Ovis aries: one gene and its partner. The protein of the gene in region 1 purifies or fractionates together with the protein of each later gene. This does not show direct contact. Links are inferred from orthologs where the notes say so. Each region holds a gene or a part of one and is shown on either strand. Other genes may lie near its edges.

What was found.
Region 2: the proteins of BCL10 (region 1) and BIRC3 purify together in Homo sapiens (affinity purification with western blotting; 5 studies listed by BioGRID and IntAct, with this or other methods). This does not show direct contact. The link is inferred for Ovis aries from reciprocal best matches to the Homo sapiens genes BCL10 and BIRC3.

What each region holds. Positions count from the first base shown.
Region 1 is NC_056054.1:62,306,225-62,310,003, forward strand, and holds part of BCL10 (B-cell lymphoma/leukemia 10), read right to left. Parts: intron 638-3,779; coding exon 349-637; intron 1-348. UniProt on the Homo sapiens protein: Plays a key role in both adaptive and innate immune signaling by bridging CARD domain-containing proteins to immune activation.
Region 2 is NC_056068.1:6,092,887-6,097,213, forward strand, and holds the start of BIRC3 (baculoviral IAP repeat-containing protein 3), read right to left. Parts: upstream 2,861-4,327; 5' UTR 2,469-2,860; intron 1-2,468. UniProt on the Homo sapiens protein: Multi-functional protein which regulates not only caspases and apoptosis, but also modulates inflammatory signaling and immunity, mitogenic kinase signaling and cell proliferation, as well as cell invasion and metastasis.

The DNA of each region.
Region 1 (3,779 bases):
CTGCTAAGTCACTTCAGTTGTGTCTGACTCTGTGTGACCTCATAGACGGCAGCCCATCAGGCTTCCCCATCCCTGGGATTCTCCAGGCAAGAACACTGGAGTGGGTTGCCACTGCATTCTCCAAAATGTAGTGTTAATGAACAGAAATACAGAACACTGAGCGATACTTCACTTTTCCAATGTAATGAAATCAAATAAGGTTAAAAAGATACAAATCAAATGTAATGCTGAAGCTTGAACTTTTTAAATAAAAGCAAAAATGGTCATTTCTGGGTTTTCTGTTCTTCATTCTACTTACAAAAGCATTGTTACATTTAAATGAACTTTTGGATACCTAAGATATCTTACCTTTCAGATGCTCTAGTTTTATATTCCTAAGTTTCAGCACTTCATCTGTAATCTTCTGTATAAGGAAGTTCTGTGTTTTTTCTCGTCGAATAGATTCGACCAGGGTATCCAGTCCTTTGGGGTTTTCTTGTAAATAGTCTAACAGTTTCCCAGCCCTTTTTCTACTTGATGTTCGGCAAGAAATTTCTTCAGTGTCTTCTCTACTGAGTATTTTTTTTGCTCGTAGATGATCAAAATGTCTCTCAGCTATGATTTTTTCACACAGGTATACACGCAAATTTTCTAAAGCCTGAAAGAAATAAAATATGGCTTAATGTAACACCTAAGTCATACAGGTGACTGATGGTAAGTTAGGAATCTGACTGGTAAGAGAAAACACCCTGAAGTCAGGAAGCTCAGCCCTACTAAAGGCATGCTATTAAGATGAGTGAACAGGGCTTCCCTGGTGGCTCAGTGGTGAAGAGTCTTCCTGCTAATGCAGGAGATACAGGTTCGATCTCTGGTCCGGGAGGATTCCACATTCTGTGGAGCAACTAAGCCCGTGCATCACAACTCTTGAGCCTGTGCTCCAGAGCCTGGGAGCTACAACTCCAGAGCCCATGCTCCCTAACAAGAGAAGCTACCACAATGAGAAGTCTGTGCACAACTAGACAGTAGCCCTCCACTTGGGGCAACATGAAAAACGCCTGTGCAACAAAGAAGACCCAGCACAAAAATTAAAAAAAAAAAATTATATACATTAAAAAAAAAGATGAAGGAGGAAAGAGATAGAAGTTCTCCGACTAGATATTCCTCACTGCTTCCGTCCTGCTCTGATCTCATCTCCACAACTGTAAGCCAAGATCAAACTATTGTGAGGAGGGGGCCAGTCTCTTCTAGCGATCTTGGGTCTGTGGAAATGAGAGGTATGCTGAGGGCCTTCAGAGGTAAAGATGAGAGCAGAGATTACTGGACATTTTAGTTTCCATTTAGTAAGGAATCTATGATTAGTCAGGACCAGAGAGGATAACTTAGGGAGGTCTCATGGTTTATAACTTTCTCATTATTAATTTTGCATCTTTCTAGAGTAAAACCCCAAAAGAGAGAGAGAAAAAGAAAGAGCCTAAACTAAAGGGGACCATAATGTGTCTGTCTTTGGAGTCAGTTGGCAAGACAATAATCTAACTCAGTCTTGGGAGGTAGAAAGGTATGGGAGGAAAGAAACAGTGGATGTTGGGGGAAAAAAAAAAAAAACCAAAGAAATACAGAAAAAGAAATCACATAAACAGGCCTACACCTGACAAGGGCTTCCCAGGTGGTGCTTGTGGTAGAGAACTCGCCTGCCAATGCAGACCCTAGAGACATGGGTTTGATCCCTGGGTTTGGAAAGATCCCCTGGAGGAGGGCATGGCAACTCACTCCAGTATTCTTGCCTGGAGAATCCCATGGACAGAGGAGCCTGGAGGGCCACAGTCCATAGGGTCTCAAAGAGTCAGAAAAGACTAAAGCAACTTAGCATGCATGCACACCTGACAAGTGCCTGCTGCTGCTAAGTTGCTTCAGTCGTGGCTGACTCTGTGCGACCCCATAGATGGCAGCCCACTGGACTCCCTTGTCCCTGGGATTCTCCATGCAAGAACACTGGAGTGGGTTGCCATTTCCTTCTCCATGACAAGTGCCTCATGAGGCTTAATTAGCCAAAAATCGATCTGGGTCTCCATAAATGGTATGAATAATTTGATGTGAGCAGCTGTATTACACAGCTCCTTCATTTACTAGATATGTGATCTTGGTAACTCCACTCCTTTGGACCTCAGTTTCCTCATCTGAGTGTAATGAGATATGTAATACGTAACATGTGTAAAGTACTTGGAAAAGTGCTTGGTACATATAAGTGATAAGTAAATATTAGTGATGATGCCAAACATGACTAATTTGATTCGCACTAACAAAGATGAACTACAGGCAATGGAAAATCTTCAAAATACTCCAGTATATGGTGGCAGAAAAGTAGCTTAGGTGAAGGGGTTCCTAGAGTTCTCAGTCCACTAAATTCTCACATTTATTTATTCACACAAGACACATTTCACATATCTAAATGCCTAATATGCCAAGTGCTGACAGTGGATATGCAAAGATGAACAAGACTTAAATTCTGCATCAAAGGGCACATAATCCAGTTGAAGAATACATTATTAACTCAAGTTAGTAATTATGAGATAATGGAATATGACCCAGAAAAAAAAAGATATAGGTCAAGTAGTGGAGAAGCAATTTATTCTGCTTCTAGGACCTGGGAAATTTACAGAGGCCACACCTGAGCGAGAGGCATGAAAGGTATGTAGTAGGGGAAATTACATTTCCCTGTAGCCAAAACCTCATCAAAGGCTTATAAATAAGAAGCCATAAGAAAAGTTTTACAGAGGGCTGGGAGAAGCAAAAATTGGGGTCAGAGTGGACTAGACAACTGCTGCCATATCTTACATATATTATGCTGAGTGCATGAATTTCAGCTGACAGGATGAGGAGAGAGAAAAACAGATTTAAAAGATGAACTTCTTGGAAAACCTCATGTGTTTCCCTAAATTTTGCTATGTGATCGAGACTCTCTCCCTAGAGATCCCAATGGTACTTGAAATTCAATATGTCCAAAAACCAAATTTATCTTCTCCTATCCTTTTCCTCTGACGTTGTAAACTCACTTGGGAGTACCACCATCTATTCAACAAGCTATAAACCTTCAACCCACCCTTGACTTTTCCATTTCCACCCACCCACCAAATCTTGCTGATATTTATCTTCCTCAGAGCATACATTCAAATCATCACCAAGTCTTATTACTACTATTTTAAAAAATGTCTGGAATTCTCCTGTTCCATCCATCTCCACTACCTGTACCCTGATCCAAATCACCATCATCTCTCACCTCTATAAAATTCAAGAATCTCCTCATTAGCTGCCTTCTTCTCACTTTTGCTCACCCCAGTCCATACATTAGGCAGAGGAAATTCTTCAATAGGTCTCTATTTCACTTGGGAAGAAAATTCCACTTTACTACCATCTATAAGACCCTTTATAATCTGGCCCTAGCCTACCATCCTAACTTCACCTCAAGACACTCAACAGCTTGCCTGCATTAGATCCTCTGCAAATTCTATTCTGTCTAGAATGTTCTTCCCTAGTTCGGTCATATCCTTCAGGAATCAGTTTAAATATAACTTTCCCTGAACATCCTATCTCAAGTAATTTCTCCTCTTATCCTGTTATTGTCTCAGCACCTGTTCATCTCCTTCACAGTACTTACCATAATTTGAAATTATACATTTGTTTTCAACCCTAAGAACTCACATGTTAAAAGCACGCAAGAACCAGGCACATTTTGTTCAACTCTGTATATCCTACACTTAGCAGAGTGCCAAGTAGATAATATTTCAGATGAATGTAAAAATTCA
Region 2 (4,327 bases), on another chromosome or scaffold:
TCGTAAACATAAAGAGTTTTCACATATCCTGCACTCAACTTCCTCCAAATTAGCATCTTATAAAACCACAGTACAACTACAGAAACCAGGAAATTAACACTGAAACAGTGCTATTAATTAATCTGTATGCCTCATTTGAATTCCACCAGCCTTCCAAGTAAGATTTTTCCTGGAAAAATATCACTGTATTTTTTCAATGTTTTAGTTAATTACCAACACTTTTTGTAAGTAAGAGATTTCCAGACTTCCCCAGTGGTCAAGACTCCACACTTCCACTAAATGGGGCAAGGGTTCAGTCCCTGGACAGGGAATTAAGATCCTCCATGTTACGTGGAGGGGCCAAAAAAAAAAGTAAAAGATTTCCCATGACATTCTAGATCCCAATGCTCTCATAAAAATATCCAAAGATCTCACTGTGCCAGGCATATATTTCTGGATGGCAACAATAAGCTAGTGTTAAGCCATGGCTGCACCCTTTTGGGAGGGTTCATGCTCTCCCATTTGGCACTCTGATACAGAGATTCTTTTCCTTTATAGTTTATTACAAATGAGTAGTTTCCTGTGCTATACAGGAGGCCCTTGTTGATTTTATATATACAGAGAGAGTAGTGTGTATATGTCAATCCTATCTTCCTAATTTATCCCTCCCCCTTCTTCCTTTTTTGGTAGTGGTTTCTATGCCTGGGGAAAACCACTCTCAATATGAGTAACACCAATGGCTTCTTTCCCAAAACCAGTGGAATTTTTCACACCTGCCACTGGGGCCCACTTCCTCTAACAAATGTTCTAGTTCCTTGGCTTCTCTCTCGGAATTCCTCTTTCCTTTCTAGTGGTTACTTCTCAGATTGGCTCATCCCCAATCATGCCTCTTCTCACTCTTCACTTCTAGTGGGCAACCTCCCTGATGCCAGGGATATTGGATATGTCTTCCTCTTGGACACTTAGCACATCCAAGTCTCTGATACTGGACGTTAAGTGTGCCTTTTGTCTCTAGCTCAGTCTGTAAAGAATCAGCTTGCAATGCAGGAGACCCGGGTTCCATTCCTGGGTCAGGAAGATCCCCTGGAGAAAGAAATGGCAACCCATTCCAGTATTCTTGCCTGGAGAATCCCATGGATAGAAGACCCTGCCAGGTTACAGTCCATGGGGTCGCAAGAGTTGGACAGGACTTAGCAACTAAATCATCACCCCCTAGTCTGCAGTCTCCTTCACAGAACTGTGCAGCAGCTCTGTATCAATCCTCCTAGCCACACATCCATCCCATCCGGCAAACAATGAAGACACTAAGAGTTTCTGTTGAGAAGTCAATGTCAGCAAACTTGACTGAGCCCCTCAAGGACCGCAGCACCCTCATTTGCATGGTATTAAGGACATCAATTTTACATTAATGACTACAAAGTCTGCTAAGTGATGGTTTAGTACAGGCTTTGGAGTCAGACATCTTGGGTTTCCAATACTCATCAGTGTCCCCGTACCAGAGGTGTGACGTTGGACAAGTAAACCTCCCTGAGCCCAGAGTTTTCTCATTGTCAGTGGAGATAAATATGGCAACTGCTCCCTAGGACTGTGAAAAACCTGAAAGACACATATGAAGTCTTTTGAGAGAGCCTTTGAGTAGACTAGGTCTTAGAAACACCTAATGTTGGCAAAAAATAATGACAAAGTTAATATTACTCTTAGTTTGCTAAGCCGCTTCAGTCGTGTCCGACTCTGTGTGACCCCATGGACAGCAGCCCACCAGGCTCCTCTGTCCACAGGATTCTCCAGGCAAGAATACTGGAGCAGGGTGCCATTTCCTTTAGCATCAGGTAAATATCTCCAGCACTTTAATAACTAGATTAAGAGCACTACAGGATTTCCAGGCCTATTATCAGGAAAACACCAAAAATCTCTTTCCGCCACCACTTGGGAACACTCTTCCATCTGTTCATTAACGAAAGACTCTGCTGCTGCTAAGTCACTTCAGTCGTGTCCGACTCTGTGCGACCCCATAGACGGCAGCCCACCAGGCTCCCCCGTCCCTGGGGCTCCCCAGGCAAGAACACTGGAGTGGGTTGCCATTTCCTTCTCCAATGCATGAAAGTGAAAAGTGAAAGGGAGTCGCTCGGTCGCGTCCGACTCTTCGCGATCCCATGGACTGCAGCCTACCAGGCTCCTCCATCCATGGGATTTTCCAGACAAGCGTACTGGAGTGGGGTGCCACTGCCTTCTCCATGAAAGACTCTAAGTCCTTACTATGGCCAAGCCATCTGGCACCGGCTGAGGCCAGTGATACCTCTTGGGCTTAGTCGCTCAGTCCAGTCGGCTCTGTGCGACCCCATGGGCTGCGGCCCGCCAGGCTCCTCTGTCCAAGGGATTCTCCAGCTGAGAACTCGGGAGTGGGTCGCCATGTCCTCCTGCAGTGATACCTTTCGGCCATCCATTAAACCAACTGTCAAACCCCCACCCCCCCCCGTCCACTGACTCACGGAAAAAGGAAAACAGGAACTGCACACCTGGCAGGAAGGCGGAAGGAAAGCGAGTGTCGGCGAAGCAGGGCCGGAGCCGGCGGCCCCGAGAGCTGGAGGGCAAGTCTGGGCGGCGGAGGCGGAGGCGGGGACCCGCCTGAGGAGACCGGCCTAAGGAGCGCGGCCGCGCCAGTCAGGGCCGCCCGGCTCGCACTATGTTCCCGCGCCGGCTCGCGAGACCCGGGAAGAGCCACAGAGGCGGCCCCCTCCCGCGCAGCGTCCCCGGGGGTCGCGCGCACGCGCACGCTCACTCACCGCAGTCCTGGTCGCCGGCCTGCGGCCCGGCGCCGTGCGCGCCAGAAATATGCCTGCCGAGACCTGGCGGGCGCCACCCGTCGCCCCCGCCGTTCGGGGCGGGCCGGAGGCTCCCGCGGCCTTTTAACCGTCTTCCCCACCCCCACCCCGCCCCGCCCCTTCCCCACCCACTCCTCGCTCCCCGCGTCCCGCACTCCTCCCAGCGGTTTGCTTGTGAGCTGGTGCTTTCCTCTGAAGTCTTAGGGGAACTCCAGCGGTAATAACCACACACACTTCCCCTTAATCAGTGGCCTGGCAGACCCACTCGGGGATTTCCATGACCCAGAAAGCGTGACTGTTTCTTAACCGGGGCGGATCGACGTGGCATTTACTGAAATACCTTTACTTCATTGTTCGTGGGTCAGAGGAAATCTTCATAATCTGTGAGAGGGCAAGATGATCATTGGTCAGCCTGACTGGAAAAGGTGCATCTCCCCACGTAATAAAATATTAAACTTTGTGCAAGCTTTCTGATTTATTTTTACTTTTTGTTCTAATTGTAAAGCATAAGTGGAAATGTAGGGGTTTTGTTAAAAAAAAAAATCACAAGATTCTCCTTTTCAATTTATTTTTAGTCTGAAAAAAAAGGTTACCATATTAGTTTAGTGGGGAAAAAAATTGTTTTTTTCTGGTTGATTGGTTATATTTATAACTAGGGTGGAGTTGGCTGTAAAACAAATTCCTCTTTGTAGGCTTCAGTTTCACAGGGGAGATGTCTGCCATGATAGCCTCATAGAAATCTGAAGTCAAGTCTCACTACACATATTTTCCTCAACATTTCCTGCCTAAGGAGTCAATTTAAGCACATTTATCTAAAGACAGTGCATGCCAGGATAACAGATTGGGAAAGCTCACCTGATTTTCCTGCCTTCCAGTAAATCAAGAAAAAGATACCAAGCACTAAAGGCAGAACTGTAATGTTACTTAGTACTTCACTCTCCTGTGGAAACAGGGATGCAGAACAGTCAGGATGAGCTGGGGTATCTTCTGTGTTAGCTGATTTGGCTGTCCATAGCAGATTTCCAGCTGGAACTATATAAAAAAGATTCAGTTTACTTATGTGGAGATTTCGATTCATTTTGAGCCTGCTTAGTTGAAAATTTTATAAGCCATTTTCAACTCTCCTGTGAGATGGTGGAAAAAAATTTTGTGATCTTTATATATATTTATAATCATGTACCCACCAAAATAGTTTTGGAAAACTATATTTCCCTGCACATTTTTAACTTAACATTAAAACACAAAAGTTGTAGTTGCTAAGGAACTACTCAGTTCAGTTAAGTTCAGTCACTCAGTCGTGTCTGACTCTGCGACCCCATGAATCGCAGCACCCCAGGCTTCCCTGTCCATCACCATCTCCCGGAGTTCATTCAGACTCATGTCCATCGAGTCCGTGATGCCATCCAGCCATCTCATCCTCTGTCGTCCCTCTCCTCCTGCCCCCAATCCCTCCCAACATCAGAGTCTTTTCCAATGAGTCAACTCTTCGCATGAGGTGACCATACTGGAGTTTCAGCTTTAGCATC